Anolis sagrei: one gene and its partners. The protein of the gene in region 3 interacts with the protein of the main gene of each other region in a pairwise test. Links are inferred from orthologs where the notes say so. Each region holds a gene or a part of one and is shown on either strand. Other genes may lie near its edges. The genes, in order: ARHGEF3, COX5B, TRIM23 and TNFAIP3.

The links.
Region 1: the proteins of TRIM23 (region 3) and ARHGEF3 interact in binary tests that used the Homo sapiens proteins (3 or more experiments, as listed by UniProt). The link is inferred for Anolis sagrei from reciprocal best matches to the Homo sapiens genes TRIM23 and ARHGEF3.
Region 2: the proteins of TRIM23 (region 3) and COX5B interact in binary tests that used the Homo sapiens proteins (3 or more experiments, as listed by UniProt). The two-hybrid records come from large-scale screens. The link is inferred for Anolis sagrei from reciprocal best matches to the Homo sapiens genes TRIM23 and COX5B.
Region 4: the proteins of TRIM23 (region 3) and TNFAIP3 interact in binary tests that used the Homo sapiens proteins (3 or more experiments, as listed by UniProt). The two-hybrid records come from large-scale screens. The link is inferred for Anolis sagrei from reciprocal best matches to the Homo sapiens genes TRIM23 and TNFAIP3.

What each region holds. Positions count from the first base shown.
Region 1 is NC_090022.1:58,067,912-58,074,834, reverse strand, and holds the start of ARHGEF3 (rho guanine nucleotide exchange factor 3), read right to left. Parts: upstream 3,006-6,923; 5' UTR 2,677-3,005; coding exon 2,624-2,676; intron 1-2,623. UniProt on the Homo sapiens protein: Acts as a guanine nucleotide exchange factor (GEF) for RhoA and RhoB GTPases.
Region 2 is NC_090027.1:24,180,298-24,187,519, reverse strand, and holds the start of COX5B (cytochrome c oxidase subunit 5B, mitochondrial), read right to left. Parts: upstream 3,008-7,222; 5' UTR 2,928-3,007; coding exon 2,810-2,927; intron 1-2,809. UniProt on the Homo sapiens protein: Component of the cytochrome c oxidase, the last enzyme in the mitochondrial electron transport chain which drives oxidative phosphorylation.
Region 3 is NC_090022.1:268,041,833-268,049,083, reverse strand, and holds the start of TRIM23 (E3 ubiquitin-protein ligase TRIM23), read right to left. Parts: upstream 3,001-7,251; 5' UTR 2,958-3,000; coding exon 2,826-2,957; intron 1,255-2,825; coding exon 1,092-1,254; intron 1-1,091. Other genes in the region: TRAPPC13 (trafficking protein particle complex subunit 13), read left to right, coding at 3,376-3,421.
Region 4 is NC_090021.1:79,201,722-79,208,995, reverse strand, and holds the start of TNFAIP3 (tumor necrosis factor alpha-induced protein 3), read left to right. Parts: upstream 1-4,262; 5' UTR 4,263-4,361; intron 4,362-7,274. UniProt on the Homo sapiens protein: Ubiquitin-editing enzyme that contains both ubiquitin ligase and deubiquitinase activities.

The DNA of each region.
Region 1 (6,923 bases), about 210 Mb from region 3:
TTCACTGGTTACAACTGTAGTTGTGGTTCATGAAACCATGCCAGCAATTGGCAACTAATGGAGTTTACTCTGAGACAGTAATTTACATCAGTTGGCCATTCACAGTGTGGGTGTCTTGGATGCTTCTTTCAATGAGCATCTCCCATTTGGAAATCAGGGCTCTTACATCCTTCCTGTGAGGGGCATCCTTTGCATCCAAAACACTTCCCCCCCCCCCCGCCCCCCCCCCCACTCTTTCACAGAAATCAACCAGCAGGGGAAAGTGGGAAACGTTCTCAGCTGAACAGTGACAGGGAGTTTCCTTCTGGGGACAAATGTTAGGGAAAACCACAGAAGGAAAAAAAGGAAGGCAAGTTTCCAAGTGATCTGCAGATGGAATTGATTTACTCTGTATTCCTATTTTTCCCCAATGGCTTCCTTCTGGGAACACCATGAGTGTATCTATAGAACGAATGCAGTTTGAGGGCTATTTGACTATGCTATGGGATCACAGGAGCTCTAGTTTGGGGGCACTCTTTGGCAGAGTAGCCTAAAGGCCTGGTAAAACTACAACTTCCATGATTCCATAGCATTGAGCCATGCCTGTTAAAGTGGTGTCAAACTGCATTAATCCTACACTGTAGATGTACCCCATGATGCCTCCTCTAGACAATTAAGTGTCCTGGTAGCATTTTTAATAAGCTATTATTACACTATGTAACTTGATTTTTGTTCCTGGGTTATGAATGGCATTTGGTGGACGAGGCTCTTTCTTTGGAGGCTTTTAAGCAGAGGCTGGATGGCCATCTATCAGGGGTGCTTTGAATGTGATTTTCCTGCTTCTTGGCAGGTGGTTGGACTGGATGGCCCATGAGGTCTCTTCCAACTCAATGATTCTATGATTTCCTAATTGGTTCTATCATAAATACATGGAAGAAGTTTATTAAACTGCAAAAACTTTTGTTTTGGCAGGAAATCCTGCAGCACATTTTGCTATAGTTTTTCAATGAATATCTCATCCAGTCTCAAGCAATTCAACATAGTTTGTGGCAGCCACAAAAACAAAGTTTCTGGAGTGTAACAACTACTTCCAAAATAAGTACTGCACAATTAAACAGGAAATAACACTTGCAAACCAGGAACAGAAACTTTTCCAAATTTTGCTACATAGTATTATTATTATTACTCAACCTCAAGGAAGCCAGGGTTGAATCCACCATCACCTACCTCCTAAAGCTTGACAATGTCTTTGGAAAAATGAGTTAATAAGAAGTTACTGGTGTTTATATGTTTTTAATGCTTTTTATATGGTTTTTATAATGTGCGTTTAAATATTTTTAATTTTGTTTTATGATTGTCGTGGCATCGAATTGTGCCAGTGTAAGCTGCCTTGAGTCACCTACAGGCTGAGAAAGGCGGCATAGAAATGCAGGAAATAAATACGTAAATAAATAATAAATAAAGAAGTGTTTCTCAATCGGGGGGGGGGGGTCAGGACCCCTGGGGGGTCACAAGGGAGTGTCAGAGGGGTCGCCAAAGACTATCAGAAAACATAGTATTTTCTGTTGGTCATGGGGTTCTGTGTGGGAAGTTTGGCCCAATTCTCTCATTGGTGGGGTTCAGAATGCTCTTTGATGGTAGGTGAACTATAAATCCCAACAACTACAACTCCCAAATGTCATGATATATTTCCCCCCAAACTCCACCAGTGTTCACATTTGAGCATACTGAGTATTCGTGCCATGTTTGGTCCAGGTCCATCATTATTTGAGTCCACAGTGCTCTCTGGATGTGCACTACAACTCGAAAACTCAAGGTCAATGCCCACCAAACCCTCCTAGTATTTCCTGTTGGCCATGGGAATTCTATGTGCCAAGTTTGGTTTGATTCCATTGTGGGTGGAGTTCAGAATGCTCTATGATTGTAGTGGAACTATAAATCCCAGCAACTACAACTCCCAAATGACAAAATTCAACCCTCTCCAACCCCACTAGTAATCAAATTTGGAATATCGGGTATTTGTGCCAAATTTGGTCCAGTGAATGAAAATACACCCTGCATTTCAGATATTTACATGACAATTCATAACAGCAGCAAAAATCAGAGTTATTATTTTTGCTGCTGGGGGGTCACCACAACATGAGGAACTGTATAAAGGGGTCCCGGCATTAGGAAGGTTGAGAACCACTGTCATCCAATTCAAGATAATTTGTGGCAGCCACAAAAACGAACTTTCTGGAGTATAACAACTTCTTCTAAAGTAAGTACTGCACAATTAAACAGGAAATAACACTTTCAGACCAGGAACAGACCATTTTCCAATTTTTGTGACACAGTATTATTATTATTCCACCTCAAAGAAGCCATGGTTTGGTCCTTTCCCGGTCCTAAAGCGAAGGGCGCATCTACACTGCAGAGTGGATGCAATTTGACACTACTTTGAAGTGCCAAGGCTCCATGCAATGGAATCCTGGGAGTTGTAGTTTGGTGAGGCACCAGCCTTTTTTGGAAGGGAAGGCGGCAGAGTTTACAAACTGCTTCCCCGGCACATGAGCCACCAAAGCGGTGCCCAAGTAATGCGCCTGAGGCGGCGGGTGCTGCTGTTGCCAAGGGGGAGGGCTTCAGCTGGCGAAGGCTGCCTTACCTGCGGCGTCGTGCTGCTTCCTCCTCCTCCTCCTCCTCCTCCTCGCCCTGCATGGGAGCTGCGGGAGGGTGGGCGCTGTGGGGAGCCGCGGGGCCCCTTTCCCTCCAGCCCTGGAAGGAGAGACGGAGCCCGGTCGGGAGGGAAAGAGGAGGGCAAGTGGGGCTCAAGCGCGGCACCTCCCCGTCCAATGCTGCCGCTGCTGCTGCTTCTGCCTCTTCTGCTCCGGAGCAAGGCTCCTCCCCTTGGCTCCGCTTCTCTCCTGTTTGAAAAACTCTGGGCGGCCGCCTCGGGGAAAACGGCCGCCCGTGGGAGCCTTTCCAGCTGAGACACCCGCGGCGAGGAGAGGGAACACCCCACTCCCGTGGAGGCACGAACGCCCCTGGACGCCACTTTCACCGCCCTGGCTCAATACTATCTCAATATCTCAGGGAGGTAGAGCTTGGCGGAGGCACCAGCAGCACCCTTCAGCAGGGCAAGGCTAACACACTGGATCATGCGCCCTGAATACGGCTCCAAGGGATGGGTTGCTGTCAGTTTTTCGGGCTGTGTATTGTCGAAGGCTTTCATGGACGGAATCACTGGGGTGTTGTAGGTTTTTTGGGCTGTATGGCCATCTTACAGAAGCATTCTCACCTGGTATTTCGTCTGTATCTATTACAGGCATCCTCAGAGGTTGTGAGGGCTGTATGGCCATGTTCTAGCAGTCTCTCCTGACATTTCGCCTGCATCTATTACAGGCATCCTCAGAGGTTGTGAGGGCTGTATGGCTATGTCCCAGAAGCATTCTCTCCTGACATTTCGCCTGCATCTATGGCAGGCATCCTCAGAGGTTGTGAGGGCTGTATGACCATGTCCAAGAAGCATTCTCTCCTGACGTTTCGCCTGCATCTATGGCAGGCATCCTCAGAGGTTGTGAGGGTTGTATGGCCATGTTCCAGAAGCATTTTCTCCTGACGTTAACAAGGGCGTTTGGCACCCAACAGTTTGGGTATTTTGTTTGTGTGTTTTGTTTTGGGTTTTTTTTGGCGCCTGAGCGCACTTGTTGCGCTTTTCTTGGCCTGAGAGAGAGAAAGATGCCCTTGTGGGGAAATCTGTGCTACTCGGAACAGCTACTACGTGTCAGTGTTTGGTTTCTGGGAAAGAGGAGGAGGCGCCGGGGTCTCCGCCATCCCGGAAGTCCTGCCTCCCGCCTTCCCCAAAGAGGGGCTTCCCTGGTTGAGGCCCATCAGGAGAGAGAAGGGGAAGGGGGCTGGACCACGCCGCCTTTGTATTGCGCCGCCCCATGCAAGGCCAGGGCATTTCCCACCATGCCCTGGAGCTGAGGGGATCTATGCAACTGTACCTTCTTTGGGTTGCTGTGAGTTTTCCGGGCTGTATGGCCACGTTCCAGAAGCATTCTCTCGTGACGTTTCGCCCATATCTCTGGCAGGCATCCTCCGAGGTTGTGAGGTCTGTCGGAAAAGGAAACTCGGCTAGTGAGGTTTATTGATCTGTGGAATGGCAACCACCACGTCAAACTACAAGGAGATGCAATGGAAATCCACAAGCATGTGGACAATTTCAAGAGAAAAGAGGAAACAATGAAAATGAACATAATCTGGCTACCGATATTTTAAAAACCCTCTAAAATCAGGACAGTAAATAAAAAAACAATACTCTGAAAACAGGAGAATTCCAGATAAGAATCAATCAGGGCCAGCTAACACCTCCCAACAAAGGGTTCCCCCAAGCAGGAAGTAGTCAGGCATTGAAGCTGCAAGACCATTCAGTGATAATCAAGCTGGCCAATTGCAACATTCACACTTACCTTCAACAGACAAAAGTTCTTTCTCCCACCCTGGACATTCCTCAGATATATAAACTTCACTTGCATAGGTAAAGATAAAGGTTTTCCCCTGACATTAAGCCCAGTCGTGTCTGACTCTGCGGGTTGGTGCTCATCTCCATTTCTAAGCCGAAGAGCTGGCGTTGTCCAAGGTCATGTGGACCACATGACAGCATGGAGCGTTGTTACCTTCCCGCTGGATCGGTACCTATTGATCTACTCAAATCTGCATGTTTTCAAACTGCTAGGTTGGCAGAAGCTGGGGCTAACAGGGGTAGCGCACGCCGCTCCCCATATTCAAACTTGTGAACTTTTGGTTAGCAAGGTCAACAGTTCAGCTCCTCGCTTGCCTAGTTTCCAACAGATCTCGCAACCTCTGAGGGTGCCTGCCTTAGATGTGGACGTCAGGAGAAAATACGTCTGGAACATGGCCATACAGCTCGGAAAACTCACAGCAAACCAGCGATGAAAGCCTTCGACAACACATTGTACTTTCTTTCTTTTTAAAGCAAGTGGCAAATCTGAGGCTCCAGCTCTTCACACAGAGAGTTGCATTCAATCTAAAGGTGTATCTACATAGGCACAGGCAAACTTTGGCACTCCAGGTGTTTGGGACTTCAACTCCCACAATTCAGGAACACTTGGAGGGCCAAAGTTTGCCCATGCCTGATCTCCACTGTAGAAGTATTGAAACTTGATTCCACTTTGGCTCTCCATTAGTGTCAGATCTAGAACACAGCAACATAACACTGGGGGGGGGGGGGGGGGGGAGTGTTGAGTCCCCAGAAAATTGATCTAATTGCTTAATGTTAAGGGTTTGGGAGCCATCCAACTTCTCAGATATTGCATTACAACTCCCAGCATTTTCCATTATCCGCTATGCTGGTTAGGACTAATGGAAGGTGCAGCCTGACACTTCTAGAGAGTAGCATCATTTCAACCCATGATCTTAAAATAGATTTTAATGGGAAAGTAGCCACACTGATTTTAAACAGGTGACCTGGAAACAAATTCCATAGATTCCCCAAGAATCTGCCTTACTACAGCTTACCCCTCCAGATTTACTGGGATTAGGACCCCAACAAAAGAAGAAAACAAACAATTTTTAAAGGAAGAGGGGCCGACCAAGGGCAAGATGGATGGATGGCATCCTTGAAGTGACTGGACTGACCTTGAGGGAGCTGGGGGTGGTAACGGCCGACAGGGAGCTCTGGCGTAGGCTGGTCCATGAGGTCACGAAGAGTCGGAGACGACTGAACGAATGAACAACAACAACAACAATTTCTTTTCACCACAGCAAGTAGTTCTCTAAGACCCCTTCCACACAGCTGAATAAAATCCCACATTATCTGCCTTGAACTTTGAAATACTGTATGGCAGTGTAGACTCGGATAACTCAGTTCAAAGTAGATATTGTGGGTTATTCTGTCTTGATATTCTGGTTATATGGTTGTGAGAAAACGCCCTAATAAGAGTATCTAGGTCCTCCAGTGAAACTATAGGCAGGGGCCATTGCTGGAGGTCTTCTAAATGCATAGAGAAGCGTTCTCTAGGACATAAATTCCTAGAGATAATATATTAACCAAATCCATGAATGCTAATTCAATGTTAATATGTATCGTATCAGAAGCGAACCGAAGGTACAGTTGTAATTCAGTGCCAATCAAGGTGGCCAACTGCAACATTAACACTTGCCTCAAGCAGACAAGAGCTCTTTCACCTCCCCTGGACATTCCACAGATATATAAACCTCACTTGCCTAGTTTCCAACAGGCCCTTTAACTTTTGAGTATGCCTGCCATCAATGTGGGCAAAATGTCAGGAAGGCATGCTTCTGGAACATGGCCATACAGCCTGGAAAACTCACAGCATCCCAGTGATTCCAGCCATGAAATCCTTCAACAATACATCAAACCCATGAATATGGAAGGCTGACTGTCGATGAAAACATCTAGTCCATCACCTTCCCAAAATCAAGTACCACATGTCTTCAACATATAATTTACCAACCTAAAAGCATCTTAAAAACATTTTTCCTTTATAAAATACCAGCGACCAGGAGTTTAACCGCATTCATTGGCTATACACCTGTTCTACTGCAACCAGGCTTTCCAGAGAAAGTCCAGAGAAAGTCTGGCACTATAATTTGTTTATGGCACTATAATTTGTTTATGGCTTTATTAAAATAAACTCAAATTAAACTCACAAATCCGATATACATTTCATAGCAGGCATGTTCCAGTTAGAATATTGCCTCTTAACATTTCTTCAATTTGTAGCACACCATGATATGTCTATTTAATATGAACAAAGAAGTAATTTCCTCAGCGGAGTAGTTAGTGTCATTTAATGTAACATATTCTACATTCTTGTCCTGTTTTATTTGATCCCCTTTAAAATATAAATAGCACTCACGATATCAGTGCACAAAGTAGTATTTGAATTATATCATATCACGGAGCCACCAGTGGCGCA
Region 2 (7,222 bases), on a different chromosome or scaffold from region 3:
ATCATGCTTTCTAACCCCTAATCTAAGTCAGTGGTTCTCAACCTGTGGATCCCCAGGTGGTAAACTGGCTGGGATTTCTGGGAGTTGTAGGCCAAAACACTTGGGGACCCACAGATTGAGAACCACTGATCTAAGCCATTAATAAAGATGTTGAACAAAACCAGGTCCATGATGGAAACCTGCGATACGCCACTCGTCATTTCTTTCCAGAATGAAGAAGAAGCGCTGGGAAGAATCACCCACTGGGTTCATTCACTTAACCAATTACAGATCCACCTAGCCATAGTTTTGGCTAGCCCACATGTATTTATTTCATGTATTTATACTCCGTCCTTTTCACCCCCGAGGGGTGGACTCAGGGTGGTTTACAATAGGCCACCACTAGATGCCGGACATTAAATTAAGAAATTAATTAAAAAACAATTAAAACAATTATAAACATCCAAGATTTAAAATTCTAAAATATCTTGAGTTTAAAATCGTGATCCAAGATCAGTCCATTACCAGTCTCATCAGTCACATTCGAATCACTATATGTATTGCTCAAAGGCTTAAGAATTTTTTTTGGAATGCAAGGAGGGCCTATCTATATAAATAAAAATGTAATGTTCGTTTGTGGGATTAACATAACTCAAAAATTGATCTTGTCATTTGGGAGTTGTAGTCGCTGGGTGTTATACGTACTTTATTTACAATCAAAGAGCATTCTGAACTCCACCAATGATGGAATTGAACCAAATGTGGCACACAGAACTCCCATGACCAACAGAAAACACTAGAAGGGTTTGGTGGGCATTGACCTTGAGTTTGGGAGTTGTAGTTCACCTACATCCAGAGAGCACTGTGGACTCATACAATGATGGATATGGACCAAACTTGGCGCAAATATTCCATATGCCCAAATATGAACACAGATGGAGTTTGAGGAAAATAGACCTTGACATTTGGGAGTTGTAGTTACTGGGATTTATAGTTCACGTACAATCAAAGCGCACGCTGAACCCTACCAACGACAGAATTGGGGCAAACTTCCCACACAGAACCCTCATACTTAAGGCCATCCAGTCCAACTCCCTTCATCAGGACAAGAAAACATAATCAAAGCCCTTCTGACAAAGAGGCATCCAGCCATAGGTATAGATAGATATATATGATTCACATAGAGAGAGATATAGTACCATAGATTTGAAAAGGACCCCTAAAAAGGACAATGATATGTTGCATGTTCCAGAGCAGGCAAACCAGACAATCTCCAAATCAACACTGACAAAGAAACAGCAAGAAATACTGTTTACCCACAAGCATAAAGAAATTACATATATTAGAAACCAACACTTTCTAATTACTTTATTTTCCAGATCAACAGCCTGGGCCACAGCAACGCGTGGCAGGGGACAGCTAGTATCTATATAATTAAAAATGTAATGTTCATTTGTGGGATTAACATAACTCAAAAATCACTGGACCAACTGACACCAAATTTGGGCACAGTACACGTATCAGGCTAACAAGTGACCATCACTTGTAAAATCACTGAAAAAAACCTCAGTGTACAATAAAAGCTTGTATATCAACTGTACCTCGGGAAGCCATGGAGCCCCTGGTGGTGAAATGGGTTAAACACCTGTGCTGGCAGGATTGAAGACCGACAGGTCGCAGGTTCAAATCCGGGGAGAGGCGGATGAGCTCCCTCTATCAGCTCCAGCTCCTCATGTAGGGACATGAGAGAAGCCTCCCACAAGGATGATAAAAACATCAAATCATCCGGGCGTCCCCTGGGCAACGTCCTTGCAGACGGCCAATTCTCTCACACCAGAAGCGACTTGCAGTTTCTCAAGTCACTCCTGACACAACAAAACAAACAAACAAAAAAAACCCTCGTGAAGCCATACTTGGCCACGGTGGTCCAGGCCTTAGTTACATCTCGAATTGATTACTGCAATGCACTCTATGTGGGGCTGCCTAAGAGCAGTACGTGTGAAAAAGACCACTGGGGGCTCCGTTTATATTGGACAACAAGTTAAACATGAGCCAACAATGTGATGTGGCGGCAAAAAAAGCCAATGGGATTTTGGCCTGCATCAATAGGAGCATAGTATCTAGATCTAGGGAAGTAATGCTCCCCCTCTATTCCGCCTTGGTTAGACCACACCTGGAATATTGTGTCCAATTCTGGGCACCACAATTGAAGAGAGATATTGACAAGCTGGAATGTGTCCAGAGGAGGGCGACTAAAATGATCAAGGGTCTGGAGAACAAGCCCTATGAGGAGCGGCTTAAGGAGCTGGGCATGTGTAGCCTGAAGAAGAGAAGGCTGAGAGGAGACATGATAGCCATGTATAAATATGTGAGAGGAAGCCACAGGGAGGAGGGAGCAAGCTTGTTTTCTGCTTCCTTAGAGACTAGGACGCAAAACAATGGCTTCAAACTACAAGAATGGAGATTCCATCTGAACATGAGGAAGAACTTCCTGACTGTGAGAGCCGTTCAGCAGTGGAACTCTCTGCCCCGGAGTGTGGTGGAGGCTCCTTCTTTGGAAGCTTCTAAACAGAGGCTGGATGGCCATCTGTCAGGGGTGATTTGAATGCAATATTTCTGCTTCTTGGCAGAATGAGATTGGACTGGATGGCCCATGAGGTTTCTTCCAACTCTTTGATTCTAAGACGGTTCAGAAGCTTCAAATAGTGCAAAGGAGGGAAAAGGAAGGGGCCTGAGCTGTTAGGGATTGCGGGGGTTGAAGCTCAAAATACCTGGAGGGAAGGCCCAAGTTGGCCAAAGTCTGTGTGAAAATGCCCTAACCCAGCCTCACCTCCGGCTCCCATGCAGCGAGAGGCTCCGGCCAGGCGCAGCGGCCCTAGAGGGAGGGCATTCCGGCCCGCGGCGAGCCCTTGGAAAAGGCCGCAGACCCTGAGTAACCTTGACGCCATGGGGAACGCGAGGAGCTATAATAGGCCTTGTCCACAGGCCTGTTTCCGCTTTCCGGGGGAGGGACTTCCTCCCACGCAGGCGCCGTTTTAACCAACCGTTGTCCAACAGCAACCCCTCCGACGCGCCGCTCAATGGGCGTGGCCGTAACCGCCGAAGCTGCACACCCATTGGACACGTTGCCTCGTGGGCGTGGCCTGGGAGTGAAGTTTCCTTTCTTTCCAGTCAGTAGGGAGGCGCCATTTTGGAGTGGAGTGGAGAGGAAGGGAAGGAATTTACCTGGTTGGAAGGAGAGAGATATTGACAAGCTGGAATGTGTCCAGAAGAGGGCAACTAAAATGATCAAGGGTCTGGAGAACAAGCTAGGCCTGGGCTATGTTTTGTCACTCTTCTTATAGGATTCTTATAGGCTGAGGGGAAAAGGAACTTCATGTATGGCTTCCCTGGAATGAGAATATAAACTTCAGGCAACTCTGGCCCTTTTAGAGCTCCTAGAATATCATAATAATAATAATCATGATAATAATAATAATTTATTTATCAGCAACTAGACCATTGGATTACATTCCTAACAGAACAAAACAAACACAAAACAAAAACCACAGATTTTGCAAGCTTGGTAGTTGATTAAATGTCCTTTGACCAGTATCTGGCCACTTGGAGTGCCTCTGGTGTTGCCGCAAGAAGGTCCTCCATTGTGCATGTGGCAGGGCTCAGGTTGCATTGCAGCAGGTGGTCTGTAGTTTGCTCTTCTCCACACTCGCATGTCGTGGATTCCACTTTGTAGCCCCATTTCTTAAGGTTGGCTCTGCATCTCGTGGTGCCAGAGCGCAGTCTGTTCAGCGCCTTCCAAGTTGCCCAGTCTTCTGTGTGCTCAGGAGGGAGTCTCTCATCTGGTATCAACCACGGATTGAAGTGATGGGTTGGAGCCTGCCCATTTTGGACTCTCGCTTGCTGAGGTGTTCCAGCGAGTGTCTCTGTAGATCTAAGAAAACTATTTCTTGATTTAAGTCGTTGACGTGCTGGCTGATACCCAAACAGGGGATGAGCTGGAGATGTCACTACCTTGGTCCTTTCACTATTGGCTGCTACTTCCCGGCGGATGTCAGGTGGTGCAATACCGGCTAAGCAATGTAATTTCTCCAGAGGTGTAGGGCGCAGACACCCTGTGATAATGTGGCATGTCTCATTAAGAGCCACATCCACTGTTTTAGCGTGGTGAGATGTGTTCCACATTGGGCATGCATACTCAGCAGCAGAGTAGCATAGCGCAAGGGCAGATGTCTTCACTGTGTCTGGTTGTGATCCCCAGGTTGTGCCAGTCAGCTTTCATATGATGTTTCTAGCGCCCACTTTTTGCTTGATGTTCAGGCAGTGCTTCTTGTAGGTCAGAGCACGGTCCAAAGTGACTCCCAGATATTTGGGTGTGTTGTAATGCTCCAGTGGGATTCCTTCCCAGGTGATCTTCAGAGCTCGGGATGCTTGTCTGTTCTTAAGGTGAAAGGGGCATGTCTGTGTTTTAGATGGATTAGGGATCAGTTGGTTTTCCCTGTAATAGGCAGTAAGAGCACCTAGAGCTTTGGAGAGCTTCTTTTCAACCATCTCAAAGCACCCTGCTTGAGTGGTAATGGCACGATCATCAGCATAGATGAAACTCTGTGTCCCATCTGGCAGTGGCTGGTCATTTGTGTAGATGTTGAACATGGATGGAGCAAGCACGCTCCCCTGAGGCAGGCCGTTCTTCTGTTTCTGTTGTTGACATGCTGGCTGATACCCAAACAGGGGATGGGCTGGAGATGTCACTGCCATTATTATTATTATTATTATTATTATTATAAAAACTTTATACCCCGCCACCATCTCCCCAAGGGACTCAGAGCGGCTTACATGAGGCCAAGCTCAACAACACATCAATAAAAACAAAATGCAATAAACAAAAACAATAAATACAATACAATTAATATTAATCACATATAAACAATAACCAATACACAGTAACACACAAGGATTTAAAAACCAGCTGCTGATCCGGACAAAAAGGAATGTAATAGTTTAAAATGTAATAGTTTAAAAATTAAAAAAATAAACGCTGGGCATGAACAAGGTAGGATATATCTGGTATAGGGTTTTAAAAATAATACTAATAAAAGAGTAAAAGAATAAATAACCTTGACTCGAGTATAAGCCATGGGGAGCTTTTTCAGCCTAAAAAGAGGGCTGAAAAACTAGGCTTATACTTAAGTATATACAATACACACACACACACACACACACATATATATATATATATAAAGAGAGAGAGAGAGTGGTGTAGCATAGATAATATAAATCTATAGTGTTTTTCGGGAGAAAAGTCCTCTTTAGTTCATTATAGAGCTGAGGAAACTTGCAATGAAAGTAAAGCATTTTAAATATACTGTATATTGTTTATAGTGGATGTCTTCTGGGAGCTGGCCATAGAATTGCACTGGAAGACTTAGCCTTGATCTACACTTCCGTATCGTCCAGTTCAAAGCAGATAACCTGGATTCATAAACTGGATTATAGGGCAGTGTAGATGGGGCTTTTCCGATTCATCCAGCATGACCTTACTGTCAACTTTTGCTGGAAGCCAACCATAGATCTGAACTGGAGGATCGAGAGAACATTTTGAAAATCCAGTCCATCAATATTCAAAACTGGAAATGTATTGTATTTGCATAAGGGGGGAATCTTGTTACTGATTGGCTCACCCTGTCGCCAGCTTTAGTGCCCTGCTTCTGATTGGCTGCTTTAGGAATGCATTCTTTTTGTTGATTTTCAAAACAGGTGGGAGTTAGAGAGCCGTTGGAGCAGCCAGGTAAGGACTTCCTCCAAGTTGAAGAAGGGAGACTGCTTTCCTTTTTGTCTGGATGAGCAGCTGATGAGTTTCTGACTCCTCCTTTCTATCTTATTGGTGTCAGTATGCTTCAGTCAACCAGATTTCCCTCAAAAGTGGGCTTCATCAGGCCTAACTCCCACCCAAATTCATTCCTACAAGGGAATCCTGCAATTTATCCTGAATTTTCATCCCCAAGGCCTTCATAGCTCTCTCAACGAATGAGCCAAATGTTAAGATGGCCTCTGTCTGCAAATGCAACAAAGCCCCTCCTCCCAAACCCCCCTCAAGTTCCTGTCATTTTTCACCTGGTGGGTGCTGCAGTGACCCAGGGGGGCGGTAATGGCCACAGGTGCATTTGGGGGCGATGAATAATTGTAAGGGGGCGGTGAAAGCATAAAAGAAAGAAGAAAATATTTCAAAAAATTGATTTCCAGAGGGGTAGGCCAAATAAGTTTGGGAACCACTGATTTACATTTTTCAATAGATATGGTCACCAGGCACAAACTTTTCATTAAGAAGTTCTGCTTTGAAGGGGGCAGAAACAGAAAGAGAAGAAGCCCCGGAAATGGCTCCTCTTGTTTAATGAATGGGAGTGAAATATCTCCTGGTTCACAATTGGGAAAGCAGTACGGCAGGGCTGTATACTCTCACCCGACCTATTCAACCTGTATGCAGAACACATCATGCGACGTGCAGGGCTTGACGAATCCAAGGCTGGAGTTAAAATTTGCTGGATGAAATATTAACAACTTTAGATATGCAGATGATAGTACTTTGATGGCTGAACGCGAGAAGGAGCCAAGGAGCCTTCTAACCAAAGTAAAAGAAGAAACTGCAAAAGCTTGGTTTCAGTTAAATATCAAGAAAACCAATATAATGGCAACCAGAGTGATTGATAACTGGCATATAGAGGGAGAAAATGTGGAGTCAGTGACAGACTGTATTTCTAGGCACGAAGATAACTGCAAGTGCCGTCTGCAGCCAGGAAATCAGGAGACGCTTCCTTCTTGGGAGAAGAGCAATGGCCAAATATCACTCCTGGTGGTGGTGCCCAGCTTATTTGTCTGAATGTATTTCCCTCTTGGTGGTCTGGGCATACCAAATCACATCTCCTGAGGAATCTGTATGAGGACCAAGTAGCAACAGTAAGAACTGACCATGGAACACCAGACTGGTTCAAGATTGGGGAAGGCATACAGCAGGGTTGTATACTCTCACCCAACCTATTCAACTTGTATGCAGAACACATCATGCGATATGCGGGCTTGACAAATGCAAGGCTGGGGTGAAAATTGCTGGAAGAAACATTAACAATCTTAGATATGCAGATGACACCACTTTGATGGCCGAAAGCAAAAAGGAGCCAAAGAGCCTTCTAACCAAAGTGAAAGAAGAAACTGCAAAAGTTCGGTTTCGGTTAAATATCAAGAAAACCAA
Region 3 (7,251 bases):
TGCATTACAGAAAATATGATTAAGCTCCCCTTCCATAAGAAACACAACCTCATTTATATCATATTTCTCCTAATCTAATTCTGCCACCAGTGATATTGCATTATCATGAACAGCAGGCTATGTTTTGACCATAGGTGCTTTCTTTACAAAGCTAGAAATTTATTTAAAAATATGCAGTTGAAATAGCTTAGTGAGCTATGGAACATGCTCAAAGAAACAAAGCTTTCGTGTCTAGTTAAGCTGACTACGGAGAAAAATCCCTTGCTGGACTCAGTAACTTTTACATCCTGGGTTTAATTTTAAAGCTTATCCAACCACACTTACCAAAGGCCAGCCCAAACCCAGAACCTCAATCAATGGCTGATAGCAAATGAGAGACTCCCCCTGCCACACAGAAAACTGCGTGACTTGGAAGGCACTGAACATTGAGATGCAGAGCCAACCTTAAGAAATGGGGCTACAAAGTGGAATCCACAACATGCAAGTGTGGAGAGGAGCAAACCACAGACCACCTACTACAGTGCGACCTGAGCCCTGCCGCATGCACAATGGAGGACCTTTTTGTGGCAGCGCCGGAGGCACTCCAGGTGGCCAGGTACTGGTCAAAGGACATTTAATAGAGTTTGCAAATCCTCTCTGTGTGTTTTTTAAATACAATACAACTGTTTGGTTCGCTCCTGACATGATAAATAAATAGCCCAATTCTGAGAATATTTGCCAATTAATTCAATGCCATAGAACTCTGACAATCTCCAAGGTTACATTTCACTAATTTGTAAAATTTTCCACAACTTTTGTAGCACAGAGAAGGGCTACTATTTTTGAATGGCACAGTCAAAATGTTTGAGTTACCTTCCAACCAATATGGGTTTGTTTCTAAAGCTACGCTTGCACTACTAAAATAAAAACTTAATTACAATTACAATGTTCTAATATAATTTACATATGTCTTTGTCTAGAACAATACAACGCACAAAAGCTATATGAATAAAGCTTAAATATAATTATGCTTTTATTGACTAAATTTCAGAATTTTGGTGCCACAATATGATTATTTCAATGTTAATGTTATTACTATTTCTGTATCTTACCTAGCTCAGTAACCTGCCGATCAAAAGGACATCGAACTGCTCTGCCATGGAGAGGAAGTCGAGTGAGGCAGTCATGACAAACAGTGTGGCCACACAGAAGCAGTCTAGGAACTTTGTCTCCTTGTAATGAGAATACGTCTTCACAGACTCCACATTCCAGAACCTAAAAGTTACAAAGGAGTACAGACATACCTCAGTTAACAAAGTAGGTGTGTTACTAGGCATTTCCTCTTTAACAGAAAGTTTGATACCAGAGGTAGAAATAATAGAGAAAGAATACCCTAAAGCAGAATCCCATTCTTTCTCAGCTCAGGTTTTATTACAGATTTTATTTTTTTACTGTAGATCAACTGCTGTAACGTAGTATCTAAAGTGTGTTTCCTCAGCCATCCTCTAGTGCTGCTGCAAATATGCCAGATTCATGGAGGAAAAGAGGGCCTGGGTGGACATTTACTTTATTTAGATTCTGCCTTTCTGCCATCATGAAATTCAAGGCAGAATAAAAATAATTTCTATACAGGAGCCTCACTCACAGAGGTTTCATTAACTGACTATGTTTAATTTCAACCAATACAAAAGTCAACATAATGTGGCAGGGTATAAATAAAGTTTATTATTATTACTAGCCGTCCCCTGCCATGTGTTGCTGTGGCCCAGTCTGTGTATATGTGTTTTGTGTGTGTATATATGTGCATATGTGTGTATCTATTTGTATATGTGTATATACGTGTGTTTGCGGTATATATGTGGTTTTGCACGTGTTGCAATGTATTTTTTGTTTGTGGCTTTTAAGACCCTTCTACTGTGTTTTCCAGTGTTTTTCTGAGTGATGGTCACTCGTTGGCCTGAGAGGTGTCTTGTGTCTAAATTTGGTGTCAATTCGTCCAGTGGTTTTTGAGTTATGTTAATCCCACAAACAAACATTACATTGTATTGTCGAAGGCTTTCAATGCCAGAATCACTGTTGTTGTGGGTTTTTTCAGGCTATATGGCCATGGTCTAGAGGCATTCTCTCCTGACGTTTCGCCTGCATCTATGGCAAGCATCCTCAGAGGTAGTGAGGTCTGTTTTTTTCCTAGTTCCAACAGACCTCACTACTTCTGAGGATGCTTGCCACAGATGCAGGCGAAACGTCAGGAGAGAATGCCTCTAGACCATGGCCATATAGCCTGAAAAAACCTACAACAACCCGAACATTACATTTTTATTTATATAGATTACACTGCAGAATTAATGCAGTTTGACCGCATTTTAGCTGCTGACTCTGGCCCCTTCCACACAGCTTTATAAAACCCCACATTATCTGCTTTGAACTGGGTTATATGGCAGTGCGGACTCTTGACAGCCCAGTTCAAAGCAGATATTGTGGGATCATCTCTCTTGATATTCTGGGTTATATGGCTGTCTGGAGGGGCTCAAAGATGCTATAGCAATCCTGTGCTTTGTAGTTTGTTGAGGCACCTACTCTCTTTGACAGACAAGGCCTTGCAAAACTACAACACCCAGGATCCCACAGCATTGAGCAATGGCAGTTAAAGTGGTGTCAAAACTGCATTAATATGAAAGTGTAGATGCACCCACAGTCGACCAGATAATCGATCCACAGAAGGATCACATCCTACTGCAGAAATATTTGCGGCCTTCTCTACAGCCGAAGGGTTTCATGGCCTTTCCCACCCCCAAAGGCGGCGAGCCTCGAAGGAAAGCCTCCCGGGCCTCTCCCGCTCTCCTCACCTTCACTACCGGGCCGCCCGGGCTCCGTCCCGGCCTGCTCCCGGCATCTATCCCTGCGCCAGCCCCGACCTTGTTTACACTCAGCGCCGCCATCTTGGAAAGGGAAGGAGAAAGCCCGAGCAGCAGCAGCATCCGCCCACTCCGCTCGCTCCCCGCTCTTTCTCCGCCCACAGCGTAGTTTCCCTGGAAACAGCGGGGAGGGTCTGCGCGCTGACGTCACACCAATGAGAACCGCCGAAGATTTGGTTTCCTATTGCACTGCGCATGTCTCCTTCGACGTCACGCTTCATGCTCCTTCCCAGTCGCGAAAGACTACAGCTACCATCATGCTTTGCCTTGACAGCTTGGAGGAAGCTCAGCACGCCTACCCGAAGGGCATTCTGGGGGATGTAGTTCCCAACGCTAGGGCGAACAGAGAGTGGGCCAAAGGCAGAGAGGGTTCATTTCGTTGTGTGGTGGAGGCGGGAGAAAAGGGGAAGTGCTTCCGGCAGAAGCTGGAGGGATTTTGTGCGTCTAAAGGAGGAGGCCCCGAAGTGGCGAGGCTGAGGCCATGGATGTCACCCAGCCCAAGCAGGAGCATCTCCTGGCCTTGAAAGGTATGTCCAGCCTGGCTCGCTTTCCCTTCACTTCATGGAGGCTCTGAAGTGGAGGCCCGAGGCCTTCAATCCTATCTCATCAGCCAAAAGCAAGCCCACGCTTCCCATTGAAATACTAATAAGCTTATGTTTATTATAATTGTTCTTGATTTTAATTATTGTATTGTTTTAAAGTGTTTTTGCACTACAAATAAGATATGTGCAGTGTGCATAGGAATTCATTCATGAGGTTCTTGTAGGTTTTTTCGGGCTATATGGCCATGTTCTAGAGCAGTGGTTCTCAACCTGGGGTCCCCAGATGTTTTTGGCCTACAACTCCCAGAAATCCTAACAGCTGGTAAACTAGCCGGGATTTCTGGGAGTTGAAGGCCAAAAACATCTGGGGACCCCAGGTTGAGAACCACTGTTCTAGAGGCATTTCTCCTGACGTTTCGCCTGCATCTATGGCAAGCATCCTCAGAGGTAGTGAGGTCTGTTGGAAGTAGGAAAATGGGTTTATATATCTGTGGAATGACTGGGGTGGGGCAAAGAGCTCTTCTCTGCTGGAGCTAGGTGTGAATGTTTCAGCTGACCACCTTCATTAGCATTTGAAGGCCTGGCTGAGCCTGGGAAAATGTTCTGTTGAGAGGTGTTAAGATGTGCCTGGTTGTTTCCTCTCTGCTGTTTTGCTGTTGCAATTTTAGAGTTTTTTAATACTGGTAGCCAGATTTTGTTCATTTTCATGGTCTCCTCCTTTCTGTTGAAATTGTCCACATGCTTGTGGATTTCAATGGCTTCTCTGTGTAGTCTGACATGGTGGTTGTTGGAGTGGTCCAGCATTTCTGTGTTCTCAAATAATATGCTGTGTCCAGGCTGGTTCATCAGGTGCTCTGCTATGGCTGACTTCTCTGGTTGAAGTAGTCTGCAGTGCCTTTCATGTTCCATGATTCGTGTCTGGGCAATGCTGCGTTTGGTGGTCCCTATGTAGACTTGTCCACAGCTGCATGGTATACGGTAGACTCCTGCCGAGGTGAGAGGATCCCTCTTGTCCTTTGCTGAACGTAGCATTTGTTGGATTTTCATTCATGTTTTTTTTTCAAATTATAATCCGGCCCTCCAACTGTTTGAGGGACTGTGACCTGGCCCTCTGTTTAAAAAGTTTGTGGACCCCTGTTCTAGACGGGTTTATATATCTGTGGAAAGACTAGGGTGGGATATATATATATATATATATATATATATATATATAGAAATACACACACACACACACACACATAAAACAAATATATTCCACAGATATATAAACCCATTTTCCTACTTCCAACAGACCTCACTACCTCTGAGGATGCTTGCCATAGATGCAGGTGTTTTGTTTTGTTTTTGTCATGTCAGGAGCAACCGCTCCTGTTGTGAGAGAATTGGCCGTCTGCAAGGATGTTGCCCAGGGGACACCTGGATGATTTTTGATGTTTTATCATCCTTGTGGGAGGCTTCTCTCATGTCCCCGCATGAGGAGCTGGAGCTAATAGAAGGAGCTCATCTGCCTCTCTCTGGATTCGAACCTGTGACCTGTCGTCTTCAGTCCTGCCGGCACAGTGCTTTAATCCACTGCGCCACCGGGGGCTCCATAGATGCAGGTGAAACGTCAGGAGAGAATGCCTCTAGAATATGACCATATAGCACGAAAAAAAACCTACAACAACCCAGTGATTCTGGCCATGAAGGCCTTCGACAATTTATGTAAAACATTTATATTCCGCCCTCACCCCGAAGGGAACTCAGGGCGAAGCACAGCATATACACAGAAAACATTCAATACTGAGACACAAATTCACATACAATACATAAACATTAAAAAACATTTATCAGATATTAAAATACACCATTTAGAAGTGTCTGACATGTGATCCAATACAACAGCCAGCAGAGAGATCTTGTCTGCTGTGGACTCATCTTGTTGTGTTTCAAATAATAATAATAATAATAATAATAATCAACTTTATTTATACCCCTCCACCATCTCGAGGCAGCTAACATGAGGCCAAGCCCAAATGAAATTACAATAGAGCAAAATGCATATAAACAAAACAATAACATCAAATAAAATACTTAATAATAACATAATAAAATGAAAATAACAAAATCATAATAAAAACACACGATAAAATGGTAATAGAATTAGAAAAAGAGAGCGAGGCTCATGACTAAAAGTGGATAGAAATTGATAAAACTCATAGGTGGGGTAGGTAGAAAGTGCTATAATTTGTGAGGGGGCTCAAACGGGATAACAGTAGAATTAATCTTCAACTTAGAGATAAGATGAAGAGCATCAGAAAGTCAAGTTGGACTTGGAACAGGACATGGCATGGAAATTGATAGTTCAGTCCCCAAAAGCACACAGGAAAAGCCAGGTTTTTAAACTTTTTCTAAAGACTGTCAGGGTGGGTGCCTGTCTAATCTCCTTGGGGAGCAAGTTCTAGAGCTGGGGGGCAACCACAGAGAAGGCCTTCTCCATCGTCCCCACAAGCCGTGCCTGTGATGGAGGCGGGAGAGAGAGGAGGGCCTCCCCCAAGATCGGAGAGATCGCACAGGTTCGTAGGAGGAAATTATAATGTATATGGCTGTGTGGAAGGGCCCTGGGTCACCATAGGGCAGTGACCCTCAACCTGTGGGTCCCGAAAATCAGCTGGTAAACTGGCTGGAATTTCTGGGAATTGTAGGCCAAAACACCTCGGGATCCACAGGCTGAGAACCACTGCCTTATTTATTTGCTTATTTGTGACATTTCTACCCTGCATTTATGGAAATACCTTCACAATAACGTAATCCTCAAGCGTAATCTGGGCTGTTCCAATACTCATTGCACAACATTCCATATCTCTCTATTGCACAAGTTCTCCAAAGGTTTGGTCACAGAGCCACGTTTGCACTCTCTTATGGAAGGTCTTATGGAGGGAGGGGGCTGATCTAATATCCCTGGTGAGGGAATTCCACACCAAAGGGGCCACCACTGAGAAGGCCCTGTCTCTCATCCCCAGCAGTCACACCTGCAAAGGGGTTGGAACCGAGAGCAGGGCCTCCCCAGACGATCTTAATCTCTGAGGTGGTTTATAGGGGAAGATACGTTCGAACAGGTAAGCTGGGCCGGAACCATTTCAAGCTTTATAGGCTAAAGCCAGCACTTTGAATTGTGCTCGGTAGCAGACTGGCAGCCAGTGGAGCTGACATAACAGAGGGGCTGTATGCTCCCTGTACGCTGCTCCAGTGAGCAATCTGGCTCCCACCCGTTGGACCATTTGAAGCTTTTGAACAGTCTTCAAAGACAACCCCAAGTAGAGTGCGTTGCAGTAGTCTATACGGGATGTAACCAGAGTGTGGACTACCGTGTCCAAGACTGACTTCCCAAGGTATGAGGACAAATGGCACACAAGTTTTAATTATGCAAATGCTCCCCTCGCTACCCCCGAAACCTGGGGATCCAAACTCAGCTATGAGTCCAGGAGAACTCCCAAGCTGCAAACCTGTGCCTTAGGGTTACCATGTTGGAAATAACTAAAAGGAAAAAATTGAAATGAGTAATCCTTATTTTTATTTCCACTGTGATGCCTTGGAAAAAAAGGCCAAACTCCTCTTGAGACTTGGATGTCATTGCCTCTGAAACAGGGATTCCCTTAATCTGTACAATGCAATTTGTAGCCCTTCTTAATAACTCCACAACCAGCTGGTGCTGGAAGAATAGCTCCTCTCTACAAATGTAATTACACACACCTTTCCCACAGGGTCTGTTAGGTATCTTCCTCTGTCATGAACACAATTCTTTATGTTTGGTGCCAACTGTTTTCAGATAGAAG
Region 4 (7,274 bases), on a different chromosome or scaffold from region 3:
TCCTTTTGGCTTGAGTTCAGCTGCCTAATTCACCATAGCACTACTCACAGCTGTCTTCTGTTCTGTCTCAGTAGTTTGTTGAGTGCCTTCCAACCATATCCTATCAATTTCTGACATTATTTCTTGTTTAATTTTGCATTATTTCATCACTGGGTTTTCATAGTAACTTTAGAAGCAGTTTACCATGCCTCTTTCTGCATAGTACTATCAAGTGTTATCTATGGTGATTTCACTCCTATCTCGACCACTACAGTTTAACAATAATGTCTCACCTCTCATCAGTTGATAACTGACTTCATTTTTCATAGCCTGAAATATTTAAAATTGACAGAAATCTCAATTGTGCATTTCTGTAGCTACTGCATAGTTTGCATTCACACTATATACTTTTAAAACATGGGCATAACATTCAAGCATTAATTTAATGGAATATCCTTAACAAAGTTAATACAGTCCATAATATCCCAAGAGCAAAGATTTGCTGTGGGTGCAATATCTTGTCCCACCATAATATAATTACTTATTTAGCCCCTTATCTTGACCCTTCATTTTTTCTTTGTTAACGTTTTAACTATATGTTATCCAAATGTATCTCTCTTTATGAGCCAGGTAGAGCATTAAGATCGGTCCCGCAGCCCTCGCAGGTGCGACTGGTGGGGACGAGAGACAGGGCCTTCTCAGTAGTGGCCTTTCGGCTGTGGAACTCTCTCCCCCATGAGATTAGATTGGTCCCTCCCTCCTGATGTTAAGGAAACTACTCAAACAAGTTTTTCAAACAAGCATTCAGAGAATGAGATGATGTAGTCCAAGATATCTTGGGACTGGTGTAATGTTGAATGTCTTATGTTTTATGTTTGTTTACATCCAAAGTTTTATAGATTACTGATTTTAATCTATTGTTATTTGTTTTTAATAGTGTAATACATTTTATATTGTGAGGTTTTGAATTTTGCCATTTGCTTTGTTGTGAACCACTTTGAGTCCCCCTACAGATTGAGAAAAGTGGTATATAAATGAAACAAACAAATAAAATAAAATAAAATAAAATAAAATAAATAAATAAATACGATTGTGAGAGGGATTCCATCACAGGCATTAAATAAAATGCTGCATTGTGTACACGGCAAGTCCTAGCAGTATATTATACATTAAATATTTAAGAGCTAAGTTGTGTAACACAAACTTGACATCAAAAAATCACATTATTCTCCTTAAAACAAATAAAGCAAAATTATTTGGTGTACCTATGTACGGCGCTCCATGCAGTCATGCCAGCCACATGACCTTGGAGGTGTCTACGGACAACGCTGGCTCTTCGGCTTAGAAATGGAGATGAGCACCACACCCCAGAGTCAGACATGACTGGACTTAATGTCAGGGGACTACCTTTATCTTTACCTTTTATGCTTATTTTACATTTTCCTTCTGCTAGTAAGCCACAGGAATAGTCTTTACATTTATGTTTTATAGTATTGGTGGTTTAATCTTTGTTATATATATATATATGCTTTGTATAGTCCTTAGTTTTATTTGTGTATTTTAATTATGTTGTACAGCACCCCACCACGATCTGTAACAAATAACATTTGTTGTTGCCAAATAATTTTCCATTGCAATTCAGGATTCCTTTCCCACTTGACTAATAGCAACAATATGAAGAAAGAAAGAAAAATCTGATAATGATGTTTCTTGCATCACAGCTCTCTGATCATTTCCCATCAGATGCTTACATAAATTGGGAAGTACTATTTTGTTCTCCTTTTGGGACCCATGGCATTCTTGAAAAATAAGGACTCTGCCAATCCATTTCCTTCTGTGTTCTTTCTGGATCACATATATGACTGTTAGGAATTGTAGGAGTTAAAGTCCAAAACACCTGGCGGGCTGAAGTTTGCACATGTTTTATTTACACAATAGAATGACTACAGCTTGACACGACCTTAACTGCCCTGGCTCAATGCTATGGAATGATGGGAACTGTATTATACAAGGCCTTCAGCCTTCTCGGCCAAAGAGTAGTGGTGCTTCACCAAACTCCCTATTTTATTATTTTATTATTTTATTGTTTATACCCCATGTTTTTTCTCTATATGGAGACTCAAAGCGATCCATAATCCAAAACATTACAACTTAAAATATACAATAAAACAGCATATCATTATATATTATCAGTAGTCATTATATTTAACATATTCGTATATTTAATATATTAGTATTACTATATTACAATATTATTCTATACTATTATATTGTATTATTGGTATTATATTGTATTCCTTTATATTATTATCAATATTATAGGACTATACAATATATTATATTATTAGCATAGCACAATAGTAGTATTATACATTACTATATTGTACTATACCACTATACTGCAATATTATTAGTAATATTACATGTAATATATAATATACTTGTATTATATTATTATATATTATTATATTGTACTATATTACTATACCACTATATCTAATATTCTACCAGTTTATACTACTACTATACCACTATATCTAATATTATACCAGTATATAATACTATTGGTATTATATAATATATTGCACTATATCACAAGTTGTAGTATATATATTACAACATTATTAATATTATATATTTTAGTATTATTACATTACAATGTTATTATTTCTATATAGTATAGTATTGTATTGTATTGTATTGTATATATTGAGGGGGCTCCCAACTTCAAGCAGTCTTAAGCTGCATTCCTTCTACACTGTAGATCAGTGTTTCTCAACTTGGGGGTCGGGACTCCGGGGGGGGGGGGGGGGCGTCAAACACCATCAGAAAACACAGTATTTTCTTTTGGGTTCTGTGTGGGAAGTTTGACCCAATTCTATCATTGGTGGGGTTCAGAATGTTCTTTGATTGTAGGTGAACTAAATTCCAGTAACAACATCTCCCAAATATCAAGGTGGCACAGTGAGTTAAGCCGCTGAGCTGCTGAACTTGCTGATCGAAAGGTTGCAAGTTCTAATCCGGGCAGTGATGTGAGCTCCCGCTGCTAGCCCCAGCTTCTGCCAACCTAGCAATTTGAAAACATGCAAATGTGAGATCAATAGGTACTGCTCCAGCAGGAAGGTAATAATGCTCCATGTAGTCATCCTGGCTACATGACCTTGGAGGCGCCTACGGATAATGCTGGCTCTTTGGCTTAGAAATGAGCATCAACCTCTGGAGTTGGACACGACTGGACTTCGTATCAGGGAAAACCTTTGCCTATTTTCCCCAAACTCCAACAGTGTTTACATTTGGGCATATTGAGTATTTATGCCAAATCTGGTCCAGATGTATCATGGATTGAGTCCACAGTGCTCTACCTGGATGTAGGTGAATTACAATTCTAAAACTCAAGGTCAATGCCCACCAAACCCTTCCAGTATTTTCTGCTGCTCAAGGGAGTTCTGTGTGTCAAGTTTGGTTCAGTTCCATCGTTGGTGGAGTTCAGAATGCTCTCTGATTGCAGGTGAACTATAAATCCCAGTAACTACAACTCCCAAATATCAAGGTCTATTTTCCCCAAACTCCAACAGTGTTCACATTTGGGCATATCGCGCATTTGTGCCAAACTTGGTCCAGTGAATGAAAATACACCCTGCATATCAGATACTGACATTACGATCCAAAACAGTAGCAATATTACGATTATGAAGTAGCAACAAAAATAATGTTATGGTTGGGGGGTCACCACAACATGAGGAAGTGTATGAAGGGGTTAGGAAGATAATAGGAAGGTCGAGAACCAGTGCTGTAGATGCACTTGAAAAAAAACTCGGGCAAGAGCCACAGCTGAAGCAGGGAAGAATCACGGTGGGGATACCCCAGGGGAGAAACCCAGGCTGCCAAGCCAAGGAGGAGCGATGATGACGTCAGTGATGTTGATGATGATGATGATGATGCGAGGCAGTCGGAGTCACGTGCCGGCGGCAGCGGCGGAGGCTTCCGCGGGCCTGGCTTCTCGCACAGCAGCGCCACCTAGAGGCCGGCCACAGCGCCAGCAGCAGCAGCAGCAGCAGCGCCGGCAAAGGCCACCGCGAGTGTCACATGCCTCCCGCCGGAAAGTCCCTCGCTTGCCTCTCCGTGGCTCTGGAAATCCCCAGCCCTTTTTTTCCTGCACTGGGGTGAGGGAGGGGGCCCGCCTGGCTCACAGTCCGGCTTCTAGAGGAACAGGAGAGAGGCAGGGCAACCACACGGGAACCTACCTTCCTTCCTTCCTTCCCACCCGAGAAAGCGGATTAAGCCATGGCAGCCTAGCGCCGGAGAGGGTTTGCATCCAGAAGGATTGAGGAGGAGGAGGAGGAGGAGGAGGATTTCTCCAGCCCTCTCCAAGCTGACAACGAGTAAGTACTTCGCCTGGTTCTCTCTCTCTCTCTCAGTCCCTCTCCTTTCTTTCATCCCTCTCTCCCGCTCTTCCTTCCTTCCTTTCCTTCCTTCCTTCCTTTCTTCTTTCCTTTCTTTTTTCCTTCCTTCCTTTCCTTCCTTTCTTTTCTATCTTTCTTTCCTTCCTTCATTTCTTTACTTCCTTCCTTTCCTTCCTTCCTTCCTTCCTTCCTTTCCTTCCTTTCTTTCTTTCCTTTCTTTCTTCCCTTCCTCCCATCCTTCCTTCCTTTCCTTCCTTCTTTCCATCCTTCCTTCTGCTGCTCTTTGGACTTTGGGATTGTTTGGGGGTCCAGTAAGGACTCGCTTCGGGATGGATGGTGGTAAACAAGAAAAGGGTGCATCTTATTCTCCTGTAGATACTGTAGAATGAATGCAGTTTGATACCGCTTCAACTTCCCTGGCTATGGAATGCTGGGAGTTGTCGTTTGGTAAGGCATCAGCCTTCTTTGGCAGAGATCCTGTCAGACTCCCAATTCGGTAGCACTGAGCCATGGCACTTAAAGTAGTGTCAAACTGCTTAAATTCTACAGCGTAGAACAGGGGTCCTCAAACTTTTTAAAACAGAGGGCCAGGTCACAGTCCCTCAAACTGTTGGTGGGCAGGATTTCAATTTGGAAAAAAAAAAGAATGAATTCCAATGCACATTGCACATACCTTATTTGTAGTGCAAAAACACTTTAAAAGAATACAATAATTGTTACGAATAACAATTTAGACAAATATCAACCTATTAGTATTTCAATGGGAAGTGTGGGCCTGCTTTTGGCTGATGAGATAGGATTGTTGTTGTTGTTGTTGTTGTTGTTGTTGTTGTTGTTGTGTGCTTTCAAATTATTGTTGTGTGACTCTGAGTGAGGGCCGGGTAAATGACCTTGGAGGGCCATATCCGCCCCGGGCCTTAGTTTGGGGACCCCTGGTGTAGAAGATGGACTCAGAGGAGAGGAAAGTGCACCCAGTTGTGTTTCTGCTATCACCAGGAAAGTTAAAACAAAGGCTGATTGAGGGCCCTTCCACACAGTACTATAACCCAGAATATTAAGGCAGTAAATCCACACTCATCACAGAGAATGAATCCACTTTAAATCTGGTTTCTGCCTCCTGCAGAATTCTGGGGTTTGCAGTTTAGTGAGGCTGTTTAAGTCTCCTCCCTAAACTACAAACCCCAGAATTCTGCAGGACACAGACACCAGATTTAAAGTAGATTCATTCTCTTGTTTGATGAAGTTAAGTGTTGAACTGCCAGTGTGGAAGGGCCCTTAGCCCCCCTTCTTCAAAATACTACTCCAAAATCTGAAATAGCCCACCTGAATGTTTGAGAGAGTCACACCTCTGCTTTCTGATGGTTCACTTTGCCAAACTTTGTTTCATGCAACATATTTTAAAAATACTTTTGTGCATCAGGTTATTATAAGGTATGATTAAGACATACGATTTCCTGTTTATACTTGGATGCCAGCTCCAAGGTTACCTATGTATTTGGAAATATAGAAATTCCAAAATCTGAAAGCATGCCTTTCCTCTTCTTTATTTGTACCAATCCATGCAAGTTTTCTAATCACTTGAAGCCCCTAATCAGGAATAAAGGAAATGTGGCTGATTATTTATTTATTTACGGTGTTTGTATACCACCCTTCCCAAGCCTGAAGAGCACTCAGAGCAGTTCACAGGGCAATTATCCCCAACCCAAGATTTGGCCATGGATATTATGATGTGTTGTCCAAGGCTTTCATGGCTGGAATCACTGTGTTGTGCTTCTTCCAGGCTGTATAACCTTGTTCCAGAAGCATTCTCTCCTAACATTTCACCCTTATCTGTGGCAGGCATCCTCAGAGGTTGTGAGACGTCTGAGGATGTCTGCCATAGATGCGGGTGAAACATCAGGAGAGAGTGCTTCTGGAGCATGGACATATAGCCTGGAAAACTCATAGCAACTCAGAAATGATGGCTCCACAGGATTATTTTTAAAGAAAGGAGGATTGTTTTTTAACCAATGTTAAAAGAAGTGGAAGGTGACCAGAGAGAAGAAGCAAAAAGGAAAATACTAGTTGTCTTTGCTTCCCATCATGTGCTGAGAAACAATTATTTATTACCCTTAAGAGTTTGGTTGTTGTTCATTCGTTCAGTCGTCTCCGACTCTTCGTGACCTCATGGACCAGCCCACGCCAGAGCTCCCTGTCGGCCGTCACCACCCCCAGCTCCTTCAAAGTCAGTTGTAAGAGTTTGGTACAAAATAGTAAATAAATTCTGGGATTGTAGGCTGGGAACAACAAAAACCTAGTAACAAGCAGGTAATACTTGTTTGTGGCATTGAGTTACATAACAACATGACAGCTCATACATAAGTATTTATCCCATTTTAAAAAACAAGGATTTGCATGAGATGCATGGACGTTGTGCTGTGTCATATGTGATACTGACATTTTAAAGATCCAATGGTTCTTTTAATTTTAATTATTATTCGCTTTCTCATAGTTTCATAATTATCAATATTGTGGTAACATGAACAAGTGATCTTAAACAGACTTACAAGGCAGTAAATCCATTAAATTCAGTGTGACTTTTGGGTAAACAGGCATAAAATGATATTGTCAGGTATTAGGTTGCTTAAAGCAGTCGCTAATTTCTCAGACTCCAATTGGTTATTTTTTTAATCCTCAAGATTTATTTTCACAATTTTTCCACCTTTGCTTAAGAGATGTGACATTGTAATCCATGTTATACTTCAGGATCTGCACCAGTGAGTTTAGTAGTAGGGCTAGTACTAGACACTAGACTTTTTCTAGTAAAGCACCAGCTCCACCTCCTTAGGTTAAGGCACCTATTATCCAAAACCAGTCTTGTAGTTTTAGCACCTGGAGCAAAACAAACCCTAC